Saccharomyces cerevisiae S288C: one gene and its partners. The gene in region 3 interacts genetically with the main gene of each other region. Each region holds a gene or a part of one and is shown on either strand. Other genes may lie near its edges.

What was found.
Region 1: mutations in SPT23 (region 3) and DGK1 together harm fitness more than expected from each alone (negative genetic interaction), as found in Saccharomyces cerevisiae (5 studies listed by BioGRID).
Region 2: mutations in SPT23 (region 3) and OPI3 together harm fitness more than expected from each alone (negative genetic interaction), as found in Saccharomyces cerevisiae (5 studies listed by BioGRID).

Annotation. Positions count from the first base shown.
Region 1 is NC_001147.6:897,517-901,515, forward strand, and holds DGK1 (diacylglycerol kinase), read right to left. Parts: upstream 2,413-3,999; coding exon 1,540-2,412; downstream 1-1,539. Other genes in the region: RNA-processing protein NOP58, read right to left, coding at 1-844; 60S ribosomal protein eL20 RPL20B, read right to left, coding at 2,734-3,251, 3,678-3,678. UniProt on the Saccharomyces cerevisiae protein: CTP-dependent diacylglycerol kinase that catalyzes the phosphorylation of diacylglycerol (DAG) to phosphatidate (PA). Controls phosphatidate levels at the nuclear envelope.
Region 2 is NC_001142.9:570,776-574,628, forward strand, and holds OPI3 (bifunctional phosphatidyl-N-methylethanolamine N-methyltransferase/phosphatidyl-N-dimethylethanolamine N-methyltransferase), read right to left. Parts: upstream 2,161-3,853; coding exon 1,540-2,160; downstream 1-1,539. Other genes in the region: GTPase NPA3, read right to left, coding at 192-1,349; Ran GTPase-binding protein MOG1, read left to right, coding at 2,320-2,976; HOC1 (alpha-1,6-mannosyltransferase), read left to right, coding at 3,206-3,853. UniProt on the Saccharomyces cerevisiae protein: Catalyzes the second two steps of the methylation pathway of phosphatidylcholine biosynthesis, the SAM-dependent methylation of phosphatidylmonomethylethanolamine (PMME) to phosphatidyldimethylethanolamine (PDME) and of PDME to phosphatidylcholine (PC).
Region 3 is NC_001143.9:398,332-405,293, forward strand, and holds SPT23 (Spt23p), read right to left. Parts: upstream 3,750-6,962; coding exon 501-3,749; downstream 1-500. Other genes in the region: MAK11 (Mak11p), read right to left, coding at 1-419; RAM2 (bifunctional protein farnesyltransferase/protein geranylgeranyltransferase), read left to right, coding at 4,237-5,187; MCO12 (Mco12p), read right to left, coding at 5,249-5,548; WD-repeat containing protein SWD2, read left to right, coding at 5,771-6,760; ATP-dependent 5'-3' DNA helicase HCS1, read right to left, coding at 6,859-6,962. UniProt on the Saccharomyces cerevisiae protein: Dosage-dependent suppressor of Ty-induced promoter mutations. May exert its suppression effect through protein-protein interactions since does not present any of the motifs generally found in transcriptional activators or DNA binding proteins.

The sequences.
Region 1 (3,999 bases), on a different chromosome or scaffold from region 3:
CCTTCATTCTTGCAGACAAGTAATTGGACAACTGTTCTCTGTAAGCGGCAAATTCGACTATTTGTTCAGCTAAAGCATTAATGTTGTCTAGATCGGTTTGAGTGATTTCAGTACCCATAGACACTTCAGCAGCGGTTTTGACACGTTCTTCAATCTCTTCTGGTAAGATTTCACTCAAATCTGTTTCAGAAGCCTTGGATCTGATACCCATTGTTAGAATAATTCTCGCATAAGCGACGGAATCAGTAACAATCTTAGCTAACTCAGGAAAGTGCCACCCGTACCATTCTTTACATCTCATGGCATATGTGTTTAATTCTTTATCTAAATCATCCAATAAAGCAATTGCTTGAATAATCATAACATCAACTTTGTCAGCAGAAAATTTTAATTTGTGACGACCGATGGAATGAGCTAAACCCAAAGACATCTTGCTTAGATCATTATCAGACATACCTGGCAGCAATTCTGGCAAATATTCTTTGATAGCTCTATAGATATCTAAGGTTACAGCATCGGAAACAACATTGAAGTTCAATCCCAACTTATTAATAGCGTTTGCCAGTTTAGTTTCACTAACAATCAAGGTCGACTTCTTGTCCTTTTTAATTTCTTCCAGAAGTTTTTCTAATTGGGAAGAAACTTTACCTTCAATAATGGAGTTGGCTTCCTCTAAAGCGTTAGCTGCAGAGTTGAACTTGGAAAAGGCGGCGATCTTGAATTCCTTCAAGACTTTGTCAGAGCTATCCAAGTCTTGAATTAAGCTTGAAGATTTGTAGATTTTCTTATCGGAAGCTTTTAAAAGAGCATAACCAGCTGAAGTTTCAGTTAAAACGTAAGCCATTGTATGAGGAGGTTGAGGTTCTACAGCTAATTTGGTATCGACTGCTATTTCAAAAATAACTTATATGCGAAATTTTTGCGAAAGCATAAATAATTCTTGCTTTTCTGAAAATTTTCGATGAGGTTGAAAAATTTTCCAAATTTCTTTTTTTCTGTTCTAACGTACACAATGATATCAATATCAATAAGGCCACTGGGCGGTAATCGCAGATAAACCATATATCCTTGAGATGCCAAGATAAATGAACGCTGGTTCAGGATCTTGGTAATCGTATTTCGCAGGATTGTTCTTTTTTATTGTTCTCTGATATGATTGCTTTGTGACAAAGTTGGGGCATGAAAAAGCCTTTTTTTACTGATGAAAATATGGTGTAGGTTTACGATTAAATAATAATGTTGCGCCCCATTTGGATGCGCTTGTTGGCACATATATTAGTAACATAAATGTTTTCATAAAACTGCTTGTGTCGAATGTTTCTAATGGCGTGAAAAATACGGAAATACTGCTGAATAATTTACACAGGTTCTAACTCTATACTCGGATATGTAGGATATTTAGAAAAATAATTTGTGGATGCCAAAGATCGAAGAGGTGCTGGATCGTTAACCACAGATAAACTGAATCGCGCACTCCAGTTACTGTAAAAAAGACTTACCGAAGAATATAAAACACTCCTGTTTTTGGTATATATGCTTTTATTTCTTGAATGTTTTGATTACTGCGTTCATAAAAAGTGATGACAGGACAGGAATAGTGAAATTATCATCCCAGTTGAACAAATCTATACCTTCACTCAAAGCAGCTACCACACCACCTAACAAGGATAGCATATTCAAACTTAATCTGCTTGTTTCTGGGCTCCATTGGATCTCGCCAGGTTTGTTGACGTAGCTGTAGGCAGGAACAAAATAGCCATAAAATACCCAGCAGGTGATAACACCAACTGTAAACGCAGCTATCGAACCTGCAAGGGATTTATTTCTTGCCACTTTGGGTGTTAAATGACCATACTTTCTTCCAATAGTTGCGGCGGCTGTATCGGACCAACTTAGCAAAAATAACGATATTAAGGTAACATCTTTAGAGAAAAAGTTAAAAGAAAAGATTAACCCAAGAATGTACCACAATACCCCATTGTATGTATGAATCTCCTTTTTTCTCATTAGCGCACCCACAGTTCTACAGTAAAGCATATTGAAAAAGGGCCAGTTTAGTCTTATCAGATCCAAAATAAACAATATGATGAAGGCGTATATCAAAGGCCATAAAACATTTTTATAATTAATACCCTGCGTATACAGGTACAAAGTAATAAAGCCAATGGAAGAATGGAACACCTTACGGGGAATTTCATGTTTAGTTATAAAATCGCCGAACCATTCATGAGATTTCAAATGTATTTCTGTCACTGGAACGTGTGCATCGTCATCGCTACTACTAATTTCTTCTTTTGCTGGAATCGTTACTTTCGCCGAGACTTGATGACTCTTAGATGATAGTCTTTGCTTAGCTTCGGTACGCGGCTCTAGCGTGCTATTTGGAAGGGCAATGGCATCTTCGGTCCCCATATTGTCTGTAAACCCTGTATGAATCCAAATGACAGAAATGCGTAGATATCTGTTTACGTAATGTTCAACTGCTCTACGACAACACCGCTCAGGATTTTTATAATTACGCTACGTTTTATATTTATCGCAGAAAAACCAATAATTTGTTACCCGCTATGGACCCTGGATTTTGTAAAGATACATGGCATGACATTGTGCTTTCACGCTGGTAGTGCATAATGTAAGAGAAGAAACAGGATATATTTTAAAATTTCCTTGAATCTACAAAATGAATTATACAAAATTTTATTATACTAAAAAACGTAGAAATATCTTGTTGGCTTAGTAGAAGGTTGATGGTCTCTTGTAAGAGAAAGTCTTGGTAGATTTTTGGACTCTGTGAGGTAATGGGAATTTTAAATCCTTGGTCAAGAATTGCTTGACGTATTGTCTCTTGACATCAGCAGTCTTTTCAATTTCAGCAACCTTCAAGATGTGAATAGATCTAAATCTAGCTCTGTGTCTAGCAGCCATGTCTTGGTATAAGGTTTCGACGGCAGCAACTCTGGATACGTCTCTGATTTCCTTGTACATGTTGTGAGTACCAGATCTGGAATCGTATCTAACCCAAACACCGAAGTTCTTGACCTTGGTTGGGTGAGCTTCGTTGATTTGGTTGATGGAAACAATTTCACCAGAAGCCTTCTTAACCTTGTGCAATTTTTGCAAGAAATACCAGTAACGAGACTTGGCGATGACTTCATTTGAAGCAAAAATTCTCATTCTGAACAACTTTGGTTCTGGAACGGATTCAGTTGGTAAACGACGACCAATGACTTGGTATTCTTTGAAATGAGCCACTGTTAAAGATAAAAATCAAAAAAGAATTTATTCTTGTTAGTAAACTTGCATATTTCAAAAATATTGCTTTATTGCAGACAATTACATGTAAATGAATGTTTCAAAATAGATCTCTGATTCAGTTAATTTCCTCTATAATTCCTGGATGGTAGTTCTATAGTCCTCATGTGAAGACTTCTCAAATGATATTAACCATATCATCAGTATTAAATGGTACACCGCCTTCCTTCTAGAAGCAATTTATGGTAATAATCGTATTCAGTATTCGGCGTATTTCAGGAAAAACATTCACAGGTTGCATTGACTTATTGGGTATTCTTCAGTATTTTAAATTTCCACGATATGTTCATTCAATTTGAGCTCACCATATAAAATAGCTACATTGACATTCATTCCACAAGCATACAATACATTCTATTACATACTTTTTCTTTGCTTGATTCCTTTGTTACGGTTCTCTTCTATTATCTTCTGCAAAAATAATGCCCTCAAAAACGGTTATATCTATCTATTAGAGTTACTTCTTCGTACTGTTGCCAACTCGAGCGGAAAGAAATTAGACAGAATCTGGCGGAAAATTGAGAAAGAGCTAGACAGACTATGCGGAACAACTTGGAATCTGCCTCTGTCCGTGTGGCCTGGCCCTGGCCTGGGAAGTAACTGTCTAGGCCGCGGACATTTTTCTCTTCGGTAGTAAGCCGCCCTACTGGTCATGGGGTTACCTGAAAGAGATAAAAATTCAAAGAT
Region 2 (3,853 bases), on a different chromosome or scaffold from region 3:
AAAAAAAAAAAATTTTTTTTTTTTCTTGTTTCTCACTGCATTCTACAGGGATTTCTGTGGAAGGATTACCTCTATTGTTCAAAAGATAATAAACGTGGGAGTTTATCTGACGTTCGTCTTTGCAATTCCATTGTCTTTTTTTTTCTCTGCGGGTCGAATGATCGCCGAACCAAAGGACTATACGTAGTTATTTAGTTTCTAATATACTTCGCGATATTTTCTGCAGTCTCGCTACTGGCCGTTTTCCCTACTTGTTGCATAGCTTCCTGATATCTCCTTTGTAGGTCTGGAGCAGAGTTCTCGTTGACCTCACCTTTTGTTCTTTCTTCGCCTGGGAACGTGTATTCTCTCTCAACGCCTTCGTCCTCATCCCTATCCACAAGACCATCATTGGCATCCTCTTCGAGGTCGCTAATGGCATCTATGCTGTCGTTGTCGCTGGCTGCAGCGCTGCTCTTCTCGTTTAACCCTAGATCCTTCATCAGGCCATTCAATGATTTTTGCTTTCTCATCTCTTCCTTTTTCTTTTTTAGGTTCAATGCTTTTTCACGTTCTTGCTTATAGTATTGGTCGTATTCATCAACTTTCTTGTCTACGCATTGCATAAATTCGTCGAATCCGTCTCCGGTAAAACTGGAAACGCCCACGACGTCTAGCTGGGAATAGAATTCTTCAAGCATCAGTGACATAGAATTGACCAATGAGCTCATGTACCCGGAGCCCAGCCCATTGTCACCATTCAAGTCTTGATCTTCCTTGATTGCTGCTTGGAAACTCTCAAAATCCGTCATCCATTCCTTAGCAAAATCTGCCTTGCACACGTCGGTCTTGTTGAAAACGACAATCATGGGAAGTTTGGTCTTATACAGAATGGAGCAGGCGTACAGCATGTTACTCATGAATGTAGTTGGGGATGAGTTTCTAGGCGTATCCACGATATATGCAATCACTGTGGGAAAGCTGGAGGCAAAAGATTCCGTGATAATGGCACCCGACGCACTCCACACAAAACATTCGATTTGGCCTGGAGTGTCGATGATGCAGTTTTGGAACTTGTCCTTCTTCTGTTCCACCAACCTAATAACTTGATCAATCTTGGTGCTGAACAAATTCAAACTGGTGACAATGGCACCGTTCGGACCTAGCTGGTAATTCTCCATCACTTTCTTGTATTTGATTGAGTCTCTGATATCGATGTTTGCACCATAGGGGACTCTCAATACTGCAGGATCAAGATTGATTACGTATGGTGGCGTTTTCTCTGCCCGCAAGTGGGAGTTTAACCTTTGCATGAAAGTTGTTTTACCGGATCCGGCCATACCAATACATATGATTGTGCTGAGACTCATTCTTGCTGTGTCGTTATTGCGTTTTGTAGTTGTTTGTGTGCGCTAGATGCTCTCATTGTATTCCTTGTTAAATAGAGCATCGCATTAAAATTTTTTTTTTTCACTTTCGCGAAGAAATTGCTTATGGAGCTATATAGAAACGGTAATAGCATAGGCTTCTAACATTATAGAATATATAGAAATAGAGCACTTACATATTCTTTTTGGCCTTATCACGGTTAGCGTAGATCATGGCAGTAAAAGGTTCTTCCCAACGAAGAGCGATCTTGTACATGAAGTAAACTACGGCAGAAACAACCAGCCCCGCAGGCTTTCCTTTGTAAAGGGCTATGCCCAAGAAGGACAAAGTGGAACCCTGGTACATGGGGTTGTTGGAAACGTTGAAGGGGAAGCCGGTGACTCTCTCATCCATCAGGATGCCGAAATAGTCACCCAAGTACGTCCCTGTGATACCCAGCTTGTACATGGAACTCAAAACAAGCACTTGCCCCAAACCAAAGAGAGCCACACCCAGCTTGGTCCAGTTCTCGCCCGTGATCAGAGAACACGTAGGCTGTTCACGCAATGCAGACTCGTACACCATGTCTCTGACGATACCTAGCGAAAATATGGTCGCCGCCAACATGTAACAGCCCTTTCTGGCCCCACCACACATCTTGGTGAGAGAATGCTTGTGGTATTCCATTCTTGCAACGATGTTCCAAAAGATAGGATTGAACATCGTGCACACAATGGCCAGCTGGAACTTGGAAGACTGTAAATCGACACTGTGGATGAGTTGCTGGATGATCTCTTGGACTGACTCCTTCATCGCTTGACTTGCGCTATTCTTGTTGTCTTCAATTGCTGTTTATGGCTCTGTCCAAGAACGTTCATGTTCTTCATATGTGTTCTCTTATAAAGACCCCTTATCCAGTGGTCATTGCAGTGGCAGTGGACAGAAACCAACGATGCATGTGTGGGTTTGCATATGAAGATTGAAAAGGCTTCTCATATTTCACAACCGGTGCAACTTTCCACATGCACTCTCATTGACACCTACCCTGGTCATCAAGGAAGCATGAACAACAAGGAAGTCGAATTATACGGCGGCGCCATCACTACTGTCGTCCCACCTGGGTTTATAGACGCTTCTACTCTAAGAGAAGTCCCCGATACACAGGAGGTGTACGTCAATTCCCGTCGCGATGAAGAAGAATTCGAAGATGGACTAGCCACCAATGAAAGCATTATCGTGGATCTCTTGGAGACGGTCGACAAGAGCGATCTGAAGGAGGCTTGGCAGTTCCACGTGGAAGACCTGACGGAGTTGAACGGGACCACCAAATGGGAAGCTTTACAAGAAGACACTGTTCAGCAAGGAACCAAGTTCACCGGACTCGTTATGGAAGTAGCAAATAAGTGGGGAAAACCAGATCTGGCACAGACCGTTGTCATCGGCGTAGCGTTGATCAGATTAACCCAGTTTGACACGGATGTGGTCATCTCCATTAATGTACCTTTGACAAAGGAGGAGGCGTCGCAAGCAAGCAACAAAGAGTTGCCTGCAAGATGTCATGCTGTTTACCAATTGTTGCAAGAAATGGTACGGAAGTTTCACGTTGTGGACACGTCGCTGTTTGCTTAATCTTTCAAATTTTAACCTTATGTTTATATTACCTTTTTATTTCTACTATATAGCGTATTACATGTTTTTTCCGATAAGTATAACGAAATTTCCCAGCAGCGAAGAAAGTGAAAAAATAACAGTGACCATAATGAACATTCCTCTCTTTCCATTTTGCACGTATTCTTGCAGAGAAGAGGCACTCTACTCGGAAGACAGCAGATAGATATATAGACTGTAGCGGTTAACGATGGCCAAAACAACAAAAAGAGCCTCCAGTTTCAGGAGGTTGATGATATTCGCCATAATAGCCCTCATCTCATTAGCATTTGGAGTTAGATACCTATTTCACAATTCTAATGCTACTGATTTACAAAAAATTCTGCAGAACTTGCCCAAAGAGATTTCCCAAAGCATTAATAGTGCCAACAATATTCAGAGTTCGGATTCTGATCTAGTTCAACATTTTGAGAGTTTGGCTCAGGAGATCAGACACCAACAGGAAGTTCAAGCAAAGCAATTTGATAAACAACGTAAGATCCTGGAAAAAAAAATCCAAGACTTGAAACAAACACCTCCGGAGGCCACCCTAAGAGAACGCATAGCTATGACTTTCCCCTACGATTCCCATGTCAAGTTCCCAGCATTTATTTGGCAAACTTGGTCCAATGATGAAGGTCCCGAGCGTGTTCAAGATATAAAGGGCATGTGGGAAAGCAAGAATCCGGGCTTTGCGCACGAAGTGTTGAACCATGACGTGATAAACGCACTAGTACACCACTACTTCTACTCCATACCGGAAATCCTAGAGACTTACGAAGCTCTGCCCTCCATCATCCTAAAGATAGATTTTTTCAAATACTTAATACTGTTAGTTCATGGAGGTGTTTATGCTGAC
Region 3 (6,962 bases):
CCCAGTTCCTTCCTCTTTTGCAAATCATAAATTCTGATGTGCTCGTCATTGGATCCAGAAACTAGGTATCTTCTTGAAACAGCCAAACATTTAATACTCAACGAATGGGCTTGAAAATGAAATATTGGCATAAAATGTGGTGTCTTTGCTGCATCATTTTCCTTTTGATTTGGGATATCTAAGGATAAACACAAAATGTTGTGCTCGTATGAGCCCACAATGATACGAAATTGGTTCTTGTCGCCTATAGCACTCATTTTTCTACACGAATTCTTGACTTGGCCCTTAGGATCTTTTCGAGATGAGGTACCATGAGTTTTCAATTTTTCATGTTCTAAAAAATTTTCGGCCTTGATCTTGAACTTTATAATTCTAAGCAAAAAAAAAATGAAGACAGTATAAGTAGTATTCAGTAACATAAAGAAGATAAAATTCAAAAATGCAAAATAATAAAAAATGAATCTATATAGTGTAAGGATTATGTAGCTAGAAAAATGTCTTTAATTGACTCGCATGTCGTTTAGAATGTTATTGTTTTGAAACTTCGATAACTGCATTTTAAAAGAGGTTTTCATCCTTTCGTTGCCTAGTAGTACCTTGGCTAAACCAATTCTTAAATATTCCTGAACAATTTTGGATAAATTATGAAACATATCATCATCTTTCCCCAAATTCGATAATGTGAAACATAATAAGAGTACTAAAGTTAAGGGGATCCAAAAGAATAGGAGCATCTTATCATTCTGAAAGTTTTGCTTCTTGGAAAAGATTGTGTTGAACCCGACCTGTAAAGCTTCTAATTCATCGTCTTCAGAAGAAGTTTGAGAATCATCCACGGTCATTTGGGCAGAATTATCTGGCCCAATCTCCACAGATTTGCTACCAAGTTCCCAGTTTTTGGGTTTTTTTGGGAACAAGTCTTCATACTTTGGGAGCTCGTCATTTAAACGAGTTAGCATTCTGTTCCATAAAGATCCGTCAGGCTCTATGCTAGTCTTAGTAGTTTTTGGTATTTCATTTGGCTTTGAAGAGAAGTCCTTGATTTTGTGGGTGTTAAAGAACTCCAAAGCAATCTCATCTGAAGATGATTCACAATCACTTATGTCATAACCTGAATCCGAATCTAGGATTGAGAATGACGTATTGTCATTACAGTTGGATTGTTCGGGGGCAAGGGCAGCGGAATCCGCCAATAAATATTTTCTTTCTTGGACATAGTCATGATCAGCATCGTCATCATCAAATAAACTTGAGTTGAAACTTGACTGGGATACATTTCTCTCAAACGGTTGAGTATCACTGGATCCTGTTGTATTCTTCGTTAATCTAGTCAGAATGTCGTCAAACAGACTGGTTTCATAATTAGAATATCTGGTCTTGTTGACAGTATAATTCATCAGGAAGAACTGTTTAGCGATAAAGCCGTTTCTGGTTTTCTTCATAATATTAACGTTGCATTCTAACAATAGTCTTATAATTCTCAAGTCACCATTAATACACGCCATATGTAGCGGAGTAAAACCAAATAAATCTTGGTCGTTCAAATGCGACCCATATTTGATTAGTAATGAGACAAGACTATACCAGTTATTGAATGCTGCCAGATGTAATAGAGTTCTACCCCTAACGTCACACATGGAAAGATTGACGGTAGAGAGATTATTATTTCTCTTAAATGACTTAATAACTTCAGTGATCAATTGTTCATCGTTTATATTTCGCATCATATTCGTGTACGAATTTAAAGAGCTATTCTGTGAGTGTAATCCTGCGTTATTATTAGATGGAGATGAATCACTGCCAACAATCCTTTTAGCAATATTTCTTGCATCTTCCAGTTTACCGTTCATTTTCAGCCCCACAATTTGCAGAGCCAATTCAATTAGTTGCCTATCAGTATCATCAACATAAGTAAAGATTGCTTTCTCACCGGTATACTTGTTTAAGTGCAGAATGTCATTGGTACTATTGCTGGTGGAAACACTACTATTGCTATTATTTCTCATAGACGTTTCACTTGGGTCGACTATGGTTACCAAAACCGGTCCAGGTTTAGATGAAGGCGGTAAATAAGTCACCATCGTAGATTCATTCCAGCATTGGCTGGACAATGCTATATTTTCGCCAAACTTGATGATTAAGCCCTGCTTAAACTTTGAGCCAAGTAGAGTCACTTCTATACCTCCGTTGATGGAACCTTGTGCGGGGATGACACGCTGAATAGAAGGCTTGTTATTTAGCGCCACGGGGACACTATTATGGTTCGATATATCTTTGGAAGAATCGATGAATTTCTGGGGAAGACGGGAAAACGTATTAGGCGTAGACATAAAAGGCTCGTTTACCGAACGCTGCCTCTTGCCAGTGTGTCTCGCAGAGGCCGCACTGAAATCACTAGTTAATGTAGTAAGAGCGGGATTAGATGAACTATTAAAACCTGTGGACGACCAAGAGTCTAGTGAACGATGTAAATTGTTGTCGTTGTTATTAGAAAAATGAATATCTGAAAAAGAATGGTTGCTGTCCTCACTGGAGGAATTTGGTGATGGAAAGTGTCTGTTGTTGTTCATCATTGCGGTATTAGTCTTAATGTTGTTTTTGTTATCATTATCATTGTTGTTGTTATTACAATTGCTATCAAGCATACAGTTCGTAGAAATGACAAAATTTTTACTGTTAGAAGGCAGGGGGAATTCGGATGGGAAGTTTAAGTCACTTTGCGGCGATGAAAAGGATCTAGTGTCATTTGTCATTGGCGAAACCTGGGCATTGCTGGTGCTGGTTGGAGTTGTGGTATTGCTGGCATTTTTCTTGTCCATGATCATTATGGGATCTGTTATAGTTTTCGCCAAGATATCGCCGTTATGGTCCCTTAGAAGGAACAAAACTACAAACCCGTTAGTTGCCTTGTGGTGTCTGCAGTAACAGACGATTCTCGTCGGTAAGTCGAAATTGATACAGTTAGAGTTACCACTCAAACCGTTATTACTAATGATGAAAAGTTGTTTACTATTGAATATGATTGCTCTTTTGTTTTCGTTATTTTGCCAGATGGAGTTGTCGTTCAACCCAGACTTTCTTCTCGACGCTCTTCTTTTTTCCCTGTTGATACATCTATTACAAACATAGGTCTGCTTGAAGTTGTTGCTATTGTTGTTAGATGCACACAAAAGAAAGGCGTCCAAGAAAAGAGTCCTTTCGTTGATGTCCCTATTGGGTATTGTCAAGTTGGTGGGATCGTCCGAGCTGGTGAAAAACTTGTCCTTCGCTATACAATCAGAGGGCAGATGAATAAAGAAGTTTTTTCTTGCATGTGCGTTTCTAATCCGAAAACTCAGCTTCATCTGAGTTTCCACCCTAGAAACCTTCGGCAACCCAATAATTTCTAGAGACAATGGAAGGGACTGCGGGTTAATGTTGATAAAATCCAGTGGATTCGCGTATGGCGTCCTCAGAGGTAGCTTTCTGCCAAATTGAACGTGTCGATCAAGCAATCCTTGCAAAGATGCGATGTCATCCCTGAGCTCCCCTTCATCTTCCTTACCTGGTGTAGTAGTACCTGCTGTTATCATTTTCTCTTGGTTCAGACTCAATAAACCAGGGTCTTGCAGAGAGGACCCAGAGTTGAGCAGAGCAATATCCAGTAATTCTGATTCTAGTAAATCCAAGTCCGGAGAGCCATCGTTGTGCTGTATGTTGGCGCTATAGCTGTGGAGCATCGAGGAAACGTTTCCTGTGCCACTCATCATTTTCAGTGGTGTACTACTGTTGTGATTAGTCGTTTAGAGGATATCTAGAGTATAATTATTTTGAATGAGTTTCGTTGACATTTTCAGTTCATGCGATCATCTTACTTTCATGGTTGCTCCTTGCCGTTAAAATTGAAACGAAAAAAGCGGGAATACAACAATGTCACCTTACACGAGCAGAGAAAAGGGCAGCAATAGCGACAATAACCGATAATGCCAGGCCTTCCAGAGCCCTATGCTGACCTATATTCATCATGACGCTATCCATATGCAACTAGAGACCTGCTGGGAAGCGCTCTCTCATTTTTGAAGGTTGCAGCAGTGCTCGCGCCGGTTTTCGATTGGGCCTCGTGATAAAACACATCAGCAAAGTTTCGCTTTTGACATTCTGTTAAATTGGTCCTTAACTGTTGGTGCAGACCTACTGCAAGACTGTTAATTATGGTATATTATATATCAAGTGCTGATACAACGTACACCATCGAAAATGGAGGAGTACGATTATTCAGACGTTAAACCTTTGCCCATTGAGACAGACTTGCAGGATGAACTGTGCAGGATTATGTATACCGAGGATTATAAGCGGTTGATGGGACTCGCAAGGGCTCTGATCAGCCTTAACGAACTGTCACCCAGGGCACTACAGCTAACAGCCGAAATTATCGACGTGGCGCCAGCCTTCTACACCATATGGAACTACCGATTCAATATCGTCAGGCACATGATGAGTGAATCCGAAGACACTGTCTTGTACCTGAACAAGGAATTAGACTGGCTAGATGAAGTTACGCTGAATAATCCAAAGAACTATCAGATCTGGTCCTATAGACAGTCTCTTTTGAAGCTACATCCGTCTCCTTCCTTCAAAAGAGAGCTGCCTATCTTAAAACTGATGATTGATGATGATTCCAAGAATTATCACGTTTGGTCGTACAGAAAGTGGTGCTGTTTGTTCTTCAGTGACTTTCAACATGAGCTCGCCTACGCCAGCGACCTCATCGAGACAGACATTTATAACAACAGCGCATGGACTCATAGGATGTTTTACTGGGTGAACGCTAAAGATGTCATTTCAAAAGTGGAATTGGCCGACGAGCTCCAGTTCATTATGGACAAGATTCAATTGGTTCCGCAGAACATCAGTCCGTGGACCTACCTCCGTGGTTTCCAAGAGCTATTCCATGATAGGCTACAGTGGGATAGCAAAGTAGTCGACTTCGCCACAACCTTCATCGGTGACGTATTGTCACTTCCAATTGGCTCACCAGAGGATTTGCCCGAGATCGAGTCCTCATATGCCCTGGAATTCCTGGCATATCACTGGGGGGCAGACCCTTGTACCCGAGACAACGCTGTTAAGGCCTATAGCTTGCTAGCAATCAAATACGATCCTATTAGAAAAAACTTGTGGCACCACAAAATAAATAATCTGAACTGAATATATGTAAGCACTCTATTTGTACGAATATATTTACGTGTGTACGTGCATGCACGCAAGTTTAATCTAGTTCTACAAACCTACTGCTGTATTGAGATTGATCTCTTCCCCTTCGTTTTGGACCGCTATCATTGATGCGTCCAAACCCGTCCTCGTTCAACTGCTTTCTGAAAAATTTAGAACGTTTAACCATCTTCAGCGTCCTTGTGTAGCACATCTCTCCCCATGACAGATATCTATGTATCCAGCCGCCCAACTGATACTGGTTGTAAAAGAATATCATTCCCGTCTCCCTTCTTATTGCCGATAGGAGCATAGCTACCAACGTCCCCTCTACTACCCACCTTATCATTCCCAACATCTTGCAATATGTTACGATCTGATCTTCACTCTCTTTTGCTCCTTCTTTTTGCTGTTTAACTGTTACCTACACTCATTTATTCGATACCTTTTTTTACCCATTTTTTCTTCATGCAGTTTAGCACTAGTACATTAAAAAAGAAAGAAAAAAAATGAAAGCAAGACTAAAATATCGAGCAAAGCACAAGCAAATACACCGTTTGTCCTTTTAGCATAGCCAACAATGACCACCGTGTCCATCAATAAGCCCAACCTGCTGAAATTCAAGCATGTTAAAAGCTTTCAACCTCAAGAAAAAGACTGCGGACCCGTAACCTCATTGAATTTCGACGATAATGGCCAGTTTCTACTGACCTCTTCTTCCAACGATACAATGCAATTGTACAGTGCCACGAACTGCAAATTCTTGGACACTATAGCCTCTAAGAAATATGGCTGTCACTCCGCTATCTTTACGCACGCACAAAACGAATGTATCTATTCCTCTACAATGAAAAATTTTGACATTAAATACCTTAATCTGGAAACAAACCAATATCTAAGATATTTTTCCGGTCATGGCGCCCTAGTGAATGATTTGAAGATGAACCCCGTGAACGATACGTTTCTATCGTCGTCATACGATGAATCCGTTAGGCTTTGGGATTTGAAGATCTCTAAACCGCAAGTTATTATACCAAGTCTCGTACCAAATTGTATCGCATATGATCCAAGTGGCCTTGTATTCGCATTGGGGAACCCAGAGAATTTCGAAATAGGGCTATATAATCTGAAAAAAATTCAGGAGGGTCCTTTCTTGATAATTAAAATTAATGATGCGACTTTCAGTCAATGGAATAAATTAGAATTTTCTAACAATGGAAAGTATTTATTAGTTGGCTCCTCGATAGGAAAGCATTTAATTTTTGACGCATTCACAGGTCAACAATTATTCGAACTAATAGGAACAAGGGCCTTCCCGATGAGAGAATTTCTAGATTCTGGATCTGCTTGTTTCACACCAGATGGTGAATTCGTCCTTGGAACCGATTATGACGGTAGGATTGCCATTTGGAATCATTCTGATTCAATAAGTAACAAAGTATTAAGGCCGCAAGGGTTCATTCCCTGTGTTTCTCATGAGACCTGCCCCAGGTCAATTGCATTCAACCCTAAATATTCGATGTTTGTTACCGCAGACGAAACAGTAGATTTTTACGTGTACGATGAATGACTGCTGCTACTGCATTGATATACTAGAGGATATAATATATAACGAACATTTTTTACCTACTGTATAACGACGTATACTCTATACATCTTGTGTATTCTTTACAAATAATCGTCAATGTTGGGGTACCTTACGTCAGCGTTCTCTTCACACCATTCTGACCAACTTTTTAGGTACTTGTTACCGCACCTTTGCAGAACTTCTA